2 linked regions of the Caenorhabditis elegans genome follow. The protein of the gene in region 1 interacts with the protein of each later gene in a pairwise test. Each region holds a gene or a part of one and is shown in the gene's direction. Other genes may lie near its edges. The genes, in order: M162.5 and vdac-1.

Evidence for each region.
Region 2: the proteins of M162.5 (region 1) and vdac-1 interact in a two-hybrid assay, tested with the Caenorhabditis elegans proteins (one large-scale study listed by BioGRID).

What each region holds. Positions count from the first base shown.
Region 1 is NC_003283.11:19,758,987-19,768,072, forward strand, and holds M162.5 (Major facilitator superfamily (MFS) profile domain-containing protein), read left to right. Parts: upstream 1-2,064; 5' UTR 2,065-2,072; coding exon 2,073-2,160; intron 2,161-2,977; coding exon 2,978-3,345; intron 3,346-6,071; coding exon 6,072-6,318; intron 6,319-6,374; coding exon 6,375-6,659; intron 6,660-7,241; coding exon 7,242-7,435; intron 7,436-7,491; coding exon 7,492-7,773; 3' UTR 7,774-7,778; downstream 7,779-9,086.
Region 2 is NC_003282.8:7,505,921-7,510,859, reverse strand, and holds vdac-1 (putative voltage-dependent anion-selective channel), read left to right. Parts: upstream 1-2,968; 5' UTR 2,969-2,971; coding exon 2,972-3,035; intron 3,036-3,108; coding exon 3,109-3,249; intron 3,250-3,416; coding exon 3,417-3,586; intron 3,587-3,743; coding exon 3,744-4,001; intron 4,002-4,047; coding exon 4,048-4,266; 3' UTR 4,267-4,439; downstream 4,440-4,939. Other genes in the region: plc-4 (Phosphoinositide phospholipase C), read left to right, coding at 16-379, 424-968, 1,018-1,182; R05G6.5 (Uroporphyrinogen-III synthase), read right to left, coding at 1,385-1,423, 1,475-1,590, 1,642-1,721, 1,899-2,086, 2,134-2,277; Putative sodium-dependent excitatory amino acid transporter glt-6, read right to left, coding at 4,572-4,850, 4,895-4,939. UniProt on the Caenorhabditis elegans protein: Forms a channel through the cell membrane that allows diffusion of small hydrophilic molecules. Plays a role in maintaining mitochondrial morphology.

The sequences.
Region 1 (9,086 bases):
TGGAGTACACAAATCTCCCACGTGGAGCAATTTTACGGGCCTCTAAAGTAGTGGAAAAATGCACTGATAGCAATTTCAAATCAAATTTTTTCCAGTTCGAAGTGCTCGTCCACCGCTAAATTTTTTTATAGGGACCTTCCTGAAAGCTGAAATTGAAAAAGTAATAAACTAAATTTCAGAAAAATTAGATTTTTTTCAGATTTTCAATAAATTTAAAAAAAAACGTTTTTCTATTGGTTTTCCAGTTGAAAAACAATGTAAAAAGGTTTCTTTTTCAAATTTTTTCTTGTTAATACAATAGAGTTTATTGTGTGCCAAAATAATAGAAATTAGAATCATGATACATCTATCATTAAAAATAAATGTTATACATACTAGGGCTCCCATGCGATCGCCACAACGGCGCCTCCGCCGACCTCAGCGGTCACCGCGCAGGCCTCACGGCGTCACCCACGCAAACCCCGAACACGTCGGCCGCTTCCAAACAACAGCTTCTTTGCACTACGTTGCGCACACACCAAGGTACTCATTTCACGCTAAGCTGCGGAACCCTGAACGTGTCGGCCGCTATAAATAACTACCTTTTGCACTTCGTTGCACACACACAACGCCGGCGGCGTGAGATCAGCATTTTGGGCCTCACTCAGCTGGGTTGTAATATTTGGCGTATTTTGATTGTTTGTCTCATGTTAGTTTGTCGATTTAAAGCCGATAGGTAACTAAATCCAAACTTCTAGACTTAAACCAAGTACATCAAAAACTATACCTCACCTGTTAAACCTGTTTTTTTTACCGCCACCTACTCAATAATATCAAGAACTACCGACGATTCTTTTTTTTTCTAGTTATACTCTATCACAGCTTTTAAAAGAAATTGTTCGGTCATTGAATGATTATATCATATCACATCATTTTCTGTTGGATAGAATCACGTATCGAGGTCACTTTGGTCGAATTAGCGGAGAATTTTGCTTTCGATTGGAACTTTTACAATTCTAACTGTATTTTTATTTATTATACTTTTTTTTTGTTTGCATTAATCAATAAAGTGTATTTACTGTAGTGTAATGTACTACATATGACGATACATACATTTTAAATAAATTTAAACAACTGCGTATTAAATAAAAAAGTGAGCAAGTAGTGTTGTCTATTTACGTTTTACTTTGTATCTATGTAACAAAAACAGCTATCAAAAAACTTTTCATACTGTAAGAACATTTTATTAAAAGTGGTGTTTTTTATTGCTTTACTAGACTTAAAATTGTTTGAAAACACCGAATTTCATAATGTAACTTTTTGAAAACTTCTCAAAAAGTGACCTAAAAATAGTTAAAACTTGAAATTTGACCGACTTGTCGTTTAACTATGGGCATACAAGCTAATTATCTTGCGGTTCCAACTATTTGGGTACATTTAAGGTCGATGGACAACTAGAATTGGTAAAATTTGATAAATTCTGGTGATCGGCTAAACATGTACCTAAAACAAATGGAAAATGCAAGATAATTAAAATGTATACTCAAAATTTAACGGTGATTTCAAAAAAAGATAGTTTTCAGCCGCTTGACAAGTCGCTCAAATTTCAAGTTTTAACTATTTTTAGGTCATTTTTTGAGCCGCCATAAAAACTTTTTGAAAAGTTTTCAAGAAGTTTCACCATAAAATTTGGTTGTTTCAGGCAATTTCAAATCTAACAAAGCCTTTAACGGAGTAGGAAAAATAAAAAATAAAAAGAGCAAAAAGTGTTGTTAATTTACACCCAAAAATTCTATTGAGAGGAAATTTTGTTTTAATAGATAATTTTGACATCATCTTCTCCACTAAAACTTGATAAAAGATCAATTGAAAACGAGAGATTTTTAAAGATTACGAATCGAACTTCACTTCCATCATCATGTTTTGTTATTTTGATGTCTATTCTTTTCATTCGCTGAACAATAATTGGCTTCCCTCCAACCCTTCCAACAAACTGGACAGTCCTCCTCTTCACAGTGTTCGAAACTTATTTTTCTCACCATTTATACTGTTTTTCTGTTCGGTTTATATACATAATATGTTCAGGTAATACAATGAAAGTGGCGCCGGAGAAGAAGCCACCGATTCCGGTGGTTATTACTGCAGAGCAGATGAGCTCTGAGGCCAAGGAGAATGGATTAGGTAAGACTAGAATCAGGTAAGAAGGTGAGCTAGTGAAAAATTCCAAAACTTTGATTTTCCGACCTATAAAATGGTTGAAAATCCATGTTCATTATTGAAAACATCTTTTAAAAAAACCCACTTTGAATATCTTATAAGCACTAAATTTTCAGTTAGAACACCCAAATATTATATGAAAATTTGAATTTCTCGCCAAAACTTATTTCTCAAAACCTTGAATTTCCCGTCGAAATAATTGTCTCAAAAAATTTAAATTTCCCGCCAAAACTTGTTTCTCAAACAAAATTTGAAGTTCCCGGCAAAATAATTTATTCTCAGAAAATTTTAATTTCCCGCCAAAATAATTTTTCAAAAAAAATTCTCAGAAAATTTGAATTTACCGCCAAAATAATTTATTCTCAGAAAATTTGAATTTCCCGCCAAAATAATTTATTCTCAGAAAATTTGAATTTCCCGCCAAAATAATTTTTTCTCAGAAAATTTAAGTTTCCCGCCCAAAAATGTTTCTTAAGTTAGAAAATTTGAATTTCCCGCCGAAATATTGTTCTCAGAAAATTTTTATTCCACGTCAAAATAATTTTTCAAAAAAAAAATTTCTCAAAAAATTTGAATTTTCCGCCAAAATGTTTTTTTCTCAGAACATTTCAATTTCCCGCCAAAATATTTTTTTCTCAAAAAATTTAAATTTCCCGCCAAAAAAATTTCTAAAAAATTGTCAATTTTCCACCAAAAATGTTTTCTCAAAAAATTTGAATTTTCCGCCAAAATATTGTTCTCAGAAAATTTAAATTTCCCGCCACAAAGCTATAACTTCCAGAACCCTCCTCCTCCAAAATCCGTTACATCGTGCTCATTCTCAGCATGACCTGTCTCTCATTCATGATGTCCAATGTGATCTGCTTCAACTTCACCGTCCTCTGTATGCCAGGCACTGGCGAGTCGTCGGAGCTCACCGGAAACAAGACCCAATACATTGGATACAATAGGCAGGAGAAGACGTGGTTGTTCAGTACAGTGGCTGTAGGTGCCATGTTCGGATTGTTTCCGGTGATCATTGGAATTAGTACATATGGATTGAGAAAGGTGTTTTTTGCCGCGGGCATGTTAACCTCGCTAACTACTTTTTTGATTCCTATTGTGGCACCGATGGATTTCAATTTGTTCCTGTTGATGAGATTTCTGCAGGTACGATTTATTTACAGAGAATGACTACCAGGGCACGTGGAGTCAGAAATTCCCATTTCGCTTTGATCTTCGAAAAATGCGGGAGATCTGATTTCCCAGAGCGTGCTGACGACGTCACAAATTTTCTGGGAAAATACTCCCGCATTCTTTGTAGATCAAACTGTAATGAGACAGCCTGACACCACGTGCCAGGGGTGTGCGGATAAAAGCCGATTTAGCCAAATTCGCAGATCGACAAATTGCCGGAATTAAAATTCCCGGCAAATTGGTAGATTACCGGATTTGTAAATTTCCGGCAAATCGACAAACTGCCGGATTTGTAAATTTCCGGCAAATCGACAAATTGCCGGATTTGTAAATTTCCGGCAAATCGACAAATTGCCGGAATTAAAATTCCCGGCAAATCGACAAATTGCCGGAATTAAAATTCCCGGCAAATTGGTAGATTACCGGATTTGTAAATTTCCGGCAAATCGAAAAATTACCGAATTTGTAAATTTCCGGCAAATCGACAAATTGCCGGAATTAAAATTCCCGGCAAATTGGTAGATTACCGGATTTGTAAATTTCCGGCAAATCGACAAATTGCCGGAATTAAAATTCCCGGCAAATTGGTAGATTACCGGATTTGTAAATTTCCGGCAAATCGACAAATTGCCGGATTTGTAAATTTCCGGCAAATCGACAAATTGCCGGATTTGTAAATTTCCGGCAAATCGACAAATTGCCGGAATTAAAACTCCCGGCAAATCGACAAATTGCCGGAATTAAAATTCCCGGCAAATTGGTAGATTACCGGATTTGTAAATTTCCGGCAAATCGAAAAATTACCGAATTTGTAAATTTCCGGCAAATCGACAAATTGCCGGAATTAAAATTCCCGGCAAATTGGTAGATTACCGGATTTGTAAATTTCCGGCAAATCGACAAATTGCCGGAATTAAAATTCCCGGCAAATTGGTAGATTACCGGATTTGTAAATTTCCGGCAAATCGACAAATTGCCGGATTTGTAAATTTCCGGCAAATCGACAAATTGCCGGATTTGTAAATTTCCGGCAAATCGACAAATTGCCGGAATTAAAATTCCCGGCAAATCGACAAATTGCCGGAATTAAAATTCCCGGCAAATTGGTAGATTACCGGATTTGTAAATTTCCGGCAAATCGAAAAATTACCGAATTTGTAAATTTCCGGCAAATCGACAAATTGCCGGAATTAAAATTCCCGGCAAATTGGTAGATTACCGGATTTGTAAATTTCCGGCAAATCGACAAATTGCCGGAATTAAAATTCCCGGCAAATTGGTAGATTACCGGATTTGTAAATTTCCGGCAAATCGACAAATTGCCGGATTTGTAAATTTCCGGCAAATCGACAAATTGCCGGATTTGTAAATTTCCGGCAAATCGACGAATTGCCGGAATTAAAATTCCCGGCAAATTGGTAGATTACCGGATTTGTAAATTTCCGGCAAATCGACAAATTGCCGGATTTGTAAATTTCCGGCAAATCGACAAATTGCCGGATTTGTAAATTTCCGGCAAATCGACAAATTGCCGGAATTAAAATTCCCGGCAAATTGGTAGATTACCGGATTTGTAAATTTCCGGCAAATCGACAAATTGCCGGATTTGTAAATTTCCGGCAAATCGACAAATTGCCGGATTTGTAAATTTCCGGCAAATCGACGAATTGCCGGAATCGTTTTGTTTGATTCGGCTAACTCGAGCAATATTAGTCGAAATAGCCGTTAGCCGTATTTATAGCAATTCGGAGCAAAGGCGGTCAATCGGTAGTAGTCGATTTTGGGCGATGTTATCCAAAAAGTTCATCAATGAATTTGCTCAATAACAATTTAGAGGGATTTGTAATTATACGGAAACACCTAAAACTGTGCCTTTTTGAATTTTAAAAAAATTTTAAAAAATTTAAAAAAAATACAAAATTTTCCCGTTATCTTTAGATATTTTCAAAGAATTTGCTTACTTTTCAAAATAGATGTAGGAAAAGTCATAGAATGCGTACATTTTTTCCGGCAATTTATCAATTTATCAGGAATTTCAATTCCTTTTTTTCTCAATTCCGGCAATTTGTCGATTTGCCTGAAATTTACAAATCCGGTTTTTGCCAATTTGCCGGAAATTTACAAATCCGGTAATTTGTCGATTTACCGGAAATTTACAAATCCGGTAATCTACCAATTTGCCGGGAATTTTAATTCCGGCAATTTGTCGATTTGCCGGAAATTTACAAATTCGGCAATTTGTCGATTTGCCGGAAATTTACAAATCCGGTAATCTACCAATTTGCCGGGAATTTTAATTCCGGCAATTTGTCGATTTGCAGGAAATTTACAAATCCGGTAATCTACCAATTTGCCGGGAATTTTAATTCCGGCAATTCGTCGATTTGCCTGAAATTTACAAATCCGGTAATCTACCAATTTGCCGGGAATTTTAATTCAGGCAATTTGTTGATTTGCCGGAAATTTACAAATCCGGTAATCTACCAATTTGCCGGGAATTTTACTTCCGGCAATTTGTCGATTTGCCGGAAATTTACAAATTCGGCAATTTGTCGATTTGCCGGAAATTTACAAATCCGGCAATTTGCCGATTTGCCGATTTGCCGAATTGCCGGGAATTTTTTTGCCAAACTGCCTATTTGCCGTTTGCCGGAAAATTGTTTCCCATCGACTCCCTGCTGTATACTGCTACCTTTCAGGGAATGTCCTACGCCGGCTGTATGCCAGCTGTTGGGGCCATCACTTCTTCCTGGGCTTCTCTAACCCAACAGGGATTATTTATTGCTGCACTGACCACATTCGGTCAGCTCTCCTCGATCTTCTCAATGCCCATTGCTGGGGAGCTCTGTGTTTCTCCGTTTGGCTGGAAGTCTGTCTACTTTCTGCATGCCGCAATTTCAATGGTCATTTTTTTGGCATGGTTCGCAGTATTTACAGATTCACCGAGTAAGTTGTTCAACTTTTTATAAAGTCTACACAGTCTACATATGATCTAACTCCAGGCACCAACAAGCTCGTAAAATCAACCGAGCTCCTTGAAATCCAAAAAGGAAAATCCGACGCAGCTGCGAATGGCAAGCAAGAGGCGACACCCTACCTGGAAATCCTCACAACTCCATCTGTCTGGGGTATATGGATTGGTGCCCTGGGAGATCTTATAGCCGTCCAACTGATTCACATCTACTCACCTGTCTACTTACATGATATTGGAGGTTATTCAGTGGAGAAGACCGGCTTTGCAGCCGCCGTACCGGTGTTGTTTCAGTTTTTTATGAAGCTTTTTGCAGGTGGGTATTCAGTCTATTTTGGACCTACTAGCCCAAACTTTAGGCCCTAAGCCTAAGTGTCAAAATTTGAAAGCCTAGGCCGAAAATTCCAAGCCATGCTCCTTGAGCCTCTGCCAGCAGCATAGGGGCCTGGTATGTTGCGATCGGTAACGTGCATCATTGGTTTTAAAACAAAACTTGAGAGCCTAAGCCTAAAATTGTGAATCTTAGGCTTGGCATGACTTGGGCTTAATTGTAGTCTCAGGTGGGGCTTGGCCTAGGGTAGAGATACTTTAAGCCCTTGGCCCTGAAACTGAAAACCGGGCTTTCTGTTCGAATCGGTAATTTCCATCCCTTCAGCCAAAGTCTCTACAACCTCAGTTCCTAAACCAAAACCTTAGCAGGGGTACTTTAAGCTCTAGGCCCTAAGACTAAAAATCGGGACTAAAAATCGGGACCCACAAGCGCCAGGTCTATTTCAGCCCAAGCATTTTAGACCTCGGGTCACAAAACAACACATCAAAGCTTTAGGCCAGATTGCTAAGTCCACGGGAAGTTACTTGAAACTCTAAGTCGCCGGGCCGGCAACCTCCACAATTTCAGGCCACTCCAGTGACCGAATCTCTGGAATATCTGAGACAACAAAGCTCCGGATCTACAATACTATTGCTCTGGGCGCCAGTGCCGTATTTCTAGCTGCTCTGGGTTTTGTAAAAGAAGGCCAGGGGCTGACCGGCTTGACACTCATGACTGTAGCCACCGCAATGTTTGGATTCAACGGTGGAGGTTTTATAAAGGTAATCTACAGAGTTTTGAATGAAAAATTTAAATTTTAAAAGCTTTAAAATTCCAGTGCGCCGCCCTTGTCTCCCGACAGCACAATCATTTTGTCATGGCAAACGTCCAGTTCCTGCTGTGCCTCTCGATGCTTCTCTGTCCAATACTTGTATCATTTTTGCTTCGACACGGAACTATAACTGAATGGAGATTGGTTTTCTTTGTTCACGCCGGAATCCTTGCCGCTTGTAATCTTATATTTTGTCTGTTGGCCACTGCAAAACCGGCTCCCTGGACAGATCGGACGTTGAAGCCATCGGCGTCGAGAAACACACCATTGTATACAATAAAGTATTGATTATAATGTATTCGGAGCATTTTTTATAATCAAAATCAAGGTCAAAATCTTGAGAAGAATTTTCCAGTTTTCCGCAAAAATTGACTGAAAATTTGAATTTCCCGCAAAAAATTGACTGAAAATTTGAATTTCCCGCCAAAAATTGACTGAAAATTTGAACATCCCGCAAAAAAAATTGACTGAAAATTTGAATTTCCCGCAAAAAAATTGACTGAAAATTTGAACTTCCCGCCAAAAAATAGACTGAAAATTTGAATTTCTCGCAAAAAATTGACTGAAAATTTGAATTTCCCGCAAAAACTTTATTTGTTTTTTTTTTAGTTTTTTTTTTTTTTTTTTCAAAAAATTTGAACTTCCACCCAAAATATTTTCGAAGGGTCTCACCACGAGAGGAGCCAGAGATTTTCAAAACATCAAGAAATTTGGTAGTTGTGGACCATTTTGGGTCTAAAAAAGCAAAGTTTTCATATTATTTTACATTCTCCAAATATTCGTTTCTCTGAAAATTTTCAAAAAAACTGTGAACGTACATTTCATTACATGAAAACCAAAAAATAAAATGGCAAAAAATGCATGTCACCCTGTGTTATAAGATGAATTGTGGTGAATACTTAAACCTTTACTATAATCAATTTTTGAAATTCATGACTAGCTTCTTGATCATAGGGAATAAACCATGTCTTTAAAGAAAATAGTTTGATCGTTTACCACTACATTCATGGCGAGTTGAAAACAAAGTTATCATATGCATATGATTGAAAATTTTATGAAGATCATTTTATTAATACAATTATTTTTATGGAGGCAATTTTTTCTTGAGTTACAGACGATTTTGGATGTGAGGTCAAAAACCGACCCGCCAGGTGGGTGCCGCTGTAACATTTTTTACGACAGTGTTTTTGAGATAATACTTATACGGCAATGTGAACAACACCTTGGCCAACATTTTGTTAGTTGACCGTTTTTAAAAACAGTGTTTATTTTCTGAGATATGGTTATTTGAACACAACCCAAAATTCACAAAAAAATCGTTTGTGCATAGTATGCACAAACGATTTTTGCACTGCATACCTTTATGGCCGGCATTGTAGGTACTAGCCGTTTTTAACGGACGGCAGTTACAAGGAAGAGAAGGGGGCGGAGCGAGATTGCCGATTGGCTGCGGGATTGTACTCTAGCGGAAAAGAGACGGAGGGGGATTGAGAATACCGACGACAGAGGTCGTCGTTTTTCCCTTTTTGTGAGCGACTGGTGATTGCTCTCTACTAGAATCGGTGTACTCTTTTTCAATTTTTTTGGATTTTTTCGGAATT
Region 2 (4,939 bases), on another chromosome or scaffold:
AATGTTTCATTTCAGAGAACTGCGTTTGAAACATCACCATATCCTGTCATCCTCACCCTCGAAAACCACGTCGGATTTGTACAACAGGCTGTTATGGCAGATTTATTCAAAGAAATTCTTGGAGATTCTTTATATATTCCACCAAAAGATTCACATCGCCATCCGTTATCATCTCCGAATAAGCTGAAAAGAAAATTCCTATTGCGCGGAAAGAAAATTATTCTTGAAGAAGACATTGAAGAACCAGATGAAGATGATTCACCAACTGATAAGGATAAGCACCATGTACATCCACATCCAGTTGCACCTGAATTATCAGCTCTCATTGGTTTGCCGTCAGTAAAATTGAGCCATAATATTTATCAAGACGTCAACAAACGTTAGTTTAAAACGTCAAAAATAGATTAATATGCAAACTTTCAGATCCATTTGATGGAAGTCCTTCGCTCTCGGAAAATAAAGTATATACAATGTTTGAAGCTGCAGTTCCCATCTTCACTTACACTGCAGAAAGGCTTGTGAAGAGTTATCCAAAAGGATTACGTCAAGATTCATCAAATATGCATCCAATGGTTTCTTGGCTTTGTGGAATTCAAAGTGTTGCTATGAACTTCCAAACCGCTGGTGAAGAGCTTGATTTGAATGCAGGATTATTCAGAATTAATGGAAATTGCGGTTACGTTCTGAAACCAAGTTGCCTTCTCGATGGAGTCGATCCAAGAAGTATGGCCAAACCAAAATTGAAGCTTGGTATTGGACTTTTCTCTGCTCAGTATCTTCCAAAGTCAGAACCCGGAAAAGAGATCATTGATCCATACGTCAGTGTTCAGATTTTCGGAATTCCACGAGATGAAACAAAAGCAAAAACAAGAATCATCAAGGACAATGGATTCAACCCAGAATGGAGGGATAATTTCTATTTCACACTCTCGTGCCCAGAGCTAGCAATTATTCGATTCTGTGTAAAAGTAGGTTTTGAAACATTATGGATCTAAATTTTATATTCCACTTTCGCAGGATTTTGACTCTACATCTTCGAACGACTTTGTTGGAGAATTCTCAATTCCTGTTATGAGTCTTCGTACAGGTTTCTCGCAAATTCAACTAAATACCGGATATCAACATACTCTGGACCCATCTGCATCTCTTTTTGTACGAATTGCAATGGAGGAAGAGTACTAATTCTCCTGCTTTTTAAACATATTTTTGAGACCAAAGCCGTTTTTATCACTACCTGTGTGTTATCTGATTACATGTAATATATGTTCTACTGCCCTTTCTTTCGCATAGTTTTGTAGTTAATTTTTAATGCATATTTTTAAAAAATTTATTGTTTTATTGGTTTATGGGTATTTACACTATATTATTTTTTAGAAACATAAACTTATTGGCGTAGTTGGTGTAGATAATCTGCGAGCCATTTCTGAAAGAGTCAAAAAAATCATGTTACTAAATGGTGTATTCGAAAACAAACAATTGGATTATCCGGTCTCTCAACTGCTACGCGAGCCAGTCCCTGGCTCAGTTTCGGCCATACTTCTACTGAGAGATAATCCTTGGCATGTTTCAGCATTGCTCTTTCGTCAATGTCTGAATATATTTTTATGGGAGAGTCAAAATTCTAACTTTATGGAATCTTACACTTGGGGAAAAAGAAAATTATATCGTGATAGGCGGCAATTGTCGTTTTTGAATAATATATTCCATCACTTGAACTCATTCTGAATTAAACGCTTGTGAAGTTTTAAAACTCTTCGGATAGATTTTTTGAAAAACCTCCAAAAGTGTGAAGGTTTCGTACCGAAACGAGACTACGGTAACGGTTATTTTCAACTGTGCGCAATGTTTTTCTTCCATTGTTTTTCAGTATTTTCGGATGTTTGTTGGTCTTTGCTCACCTCTTAGCGATCACATTGTGATATTTGGCCACTTCTTTCATCTCAATAAAAGCATTCGCTCGTTGACACAATAGTAACATGCATGGTCCGTCTATTAGCCTGTCTGATAAGTTCCAGATATCTTGGGATTCAAGATCAGCACTTTTCCACTCCATGACTTCTTCAGTTTTAAAATGCTTCACAGTTTTCTAAATAATCAGTTTCTTCTTCTTTAATTTTCATATATACAACTTACCTCTATAATCCCGAAGTTTTCTTTTGTTATGTGCTTCAGTACGGATTCATATTCATAGAAATAGTTCGGCAGAATAATTACAATTATTCTATCGACTAGGTTTGGATTTTCCAGTTGTGGCTTAGAGACTTCCGAGCGGTACATTTCGAATAGGTTAGATGCAAGTGACAGAAGTGAACTGAATTCGCTGAACCAGGTGATGCGGAAACTATTTGGATTTGTGCTCAATTTCCGGTACCATTTCCTGGTTTAACGCTAAATTTGAGATTTCTTGCTAATTTCATTTTGTTTCGTTAGTCAATATTTCTTTCATTGCATCAAATCTTTTCTTCTCAGTGCATCATTCAATTTTGAAAAACTGCCAAAATAATCCAGTACTTTTGGAAGCGGAGCGGTCGCGCTGCAGTAACCAGTCTCTGTGCCTCTCATTTTCGTCCTATGTCTCGAGACGGGCGGTCGCCGCGCCAATGTGCTTGCCTTTGAACTCTCAATTTGCTGTTGTGGCGTGATCTGTCCTTTCTCTATCGCATTCAATGTTTTCGATACCGTCGGAGTTTTATGTTACAAATGTTTGCTTCTGAATTTCCCGATAAGATAATTGTAAATCATTTAACTGAAACCCTGAATATATTTTTTGGCGATGTTGTGTTTTCTGGCGCATTGTTTATCGACTTCCTACTGCTGCCATTGAGTTGGTTTATCTCTTTCTTTCCGTTTTTCTCGTATGCACTGCTCAATGCAAACATTTTCAAAGCCTTCATTTTTCGAAAATTTCCTATTTTCCTTCTCTCGTGTAACTCTAGAATGCATGTTTCAAAAAATATTTTGTGTTTAGAAAATGGCCCCACCAACCTTCGCTGATCTTGGAAAGTCCGCCAAGGACCTCTTCAACAAAGGATACAGTAAGTTTCAATTTTATCTTTGTAGAGAGGAATAGTGTTAGGTCATTTATTCGCCTGATTAATTTTTTTCCAGACTTTGGATTCCTCAAGATCGACTCCACCACTAGAGCTGGAGACAACAAGGAGGTTGAGTTCAAATCAGCCGCTTCTCACAATATCGGATCCGGAAAGCTTGGAGGAAATCTCGATGTCAAGTACAAGATCCCACAATACGGTAAGCTCGTCTGAACATCTTATTGTCTACCCGCTAGATGGGGACAACCTCGTGACGCAGGTGATGCAATTGTATGTACTCTAAAACACCACGTGACGTCTAGCGACCGCTCAACAAAAATACAACATATTGTGTGAGAGATATCAATCATGTTGTTTCGTTTTCAGGAATCACTTTGACCGAGAAATGGAACACCGAGAACCAGCTCGGAACTGTTATCGAAGTTAATGAGCAATTCGGACGTGGACTCAAGGTCACTCTCGATTCTCTTTATGCCCCACACGCCGGAAAGAGAAGCGGAAAAGTGAAGCTCGACTGGGCTCTCCCAACTGCTAGAGTGAGTAGTCTTGTACATATTTTGGGTGATAAGATTGGCGAAGCTCGTCTCAAGCTTGACTGGAAGCATGATTGTTTCAGGGTTCGATTTTCTGAATGTAGAAATAGAGATTTCAAAAATCCATCTTTGTGAAATGAAACAAATTAGCCATTTACAGGTTACCGCTGATGTTGGAGTCACCTCTGCTCCAGTTATCAACGCTGCCGGAGTCTTCTCCCGTGACGGATGGCTCATCGGAGCTGCCGCCACCTTCGATTCTTCATCGAATAAGTTGGCAGCCACTTCTTTGGCTTTCGGACACTCCACTCCACAATACACCCTCCACTCTTTCGTTATTAACTCAACCGACTTCGGAGCTTCCCTTTACCACAAGGTTGCCTCCAACGTCGAGGTTGGAACTCAACTCGGATGGAAGGTAAACTTTTTAAAATCCTAGAACCAAAACTAAAGTGAATTTTCAGGTTGGTGGAAACGGAGCTGACTACGCTCTCGCCACCAAGTATGCTCCAAGCCGTGACCTTACTGTCCGCGCCAAGGTCAACAGCTCTTCCCAAGTTGCCGTTGCTGCCACACACTCCTTGTCTCCAGCTCTTAAGCTGACACTTTCCACTCAATTCAACCTTGCTGCCAATGATGCTCACAAGTTCGGACTTGGACTCGAATTCGATCCATCCAACTAGATCTTCCGATCACTTCCATTCTCCCATCAATAGCGTTCTTAAAATTCTTTTAGTCCTCAACCGTTGATTTTTCAATGTCGATTTATGTTCTCTAAACTTCGAAAAAAAAGAAATGTCATGCGCTATTTACTTTTCTGCTAAATTTTACAAACATAAATTATTGAGTTTCATCAGTGGCTTAAAATAGTAAAAATGATATGTACAAAACAATCCATGGGTTCTCGCGGAAAGAGGAGAGAATAACCGTTTTCTGTTTTGGAATGGAAAAGTGACATGGACAAAAAATGTAAATATTGATCATGGAACTACACGTTTTCATCGTTGGGCAGAGGTGTGTATGGTGGTTCAATGTTATTATTACGCCAGGAAAGATGCAAGTTGGTGGATGAAGGACGACGAGAGCCAATTCGTGATCCAATTCTTGAGTTTCCAGCTGTGTTCGCGTGTGTCAAGAAGAGCTCCTTAGAAGCTTCTGACATTGTGAATGATGGTCTTCTACTGGTGGCAGCTGACTTCAATAGTTCAATTTCTCCTTTCAGTTCAGTCTTATAATCGTGACGAGCGTCTGCTTGATCCAGCTTTTTCTTAAAATATACAATTGTCTCCAAGTTCGAGTTTTCTATCAAACCTGCAATAAATGCTGAACCATTGAAGCAGCAAACGCATCCCCTAG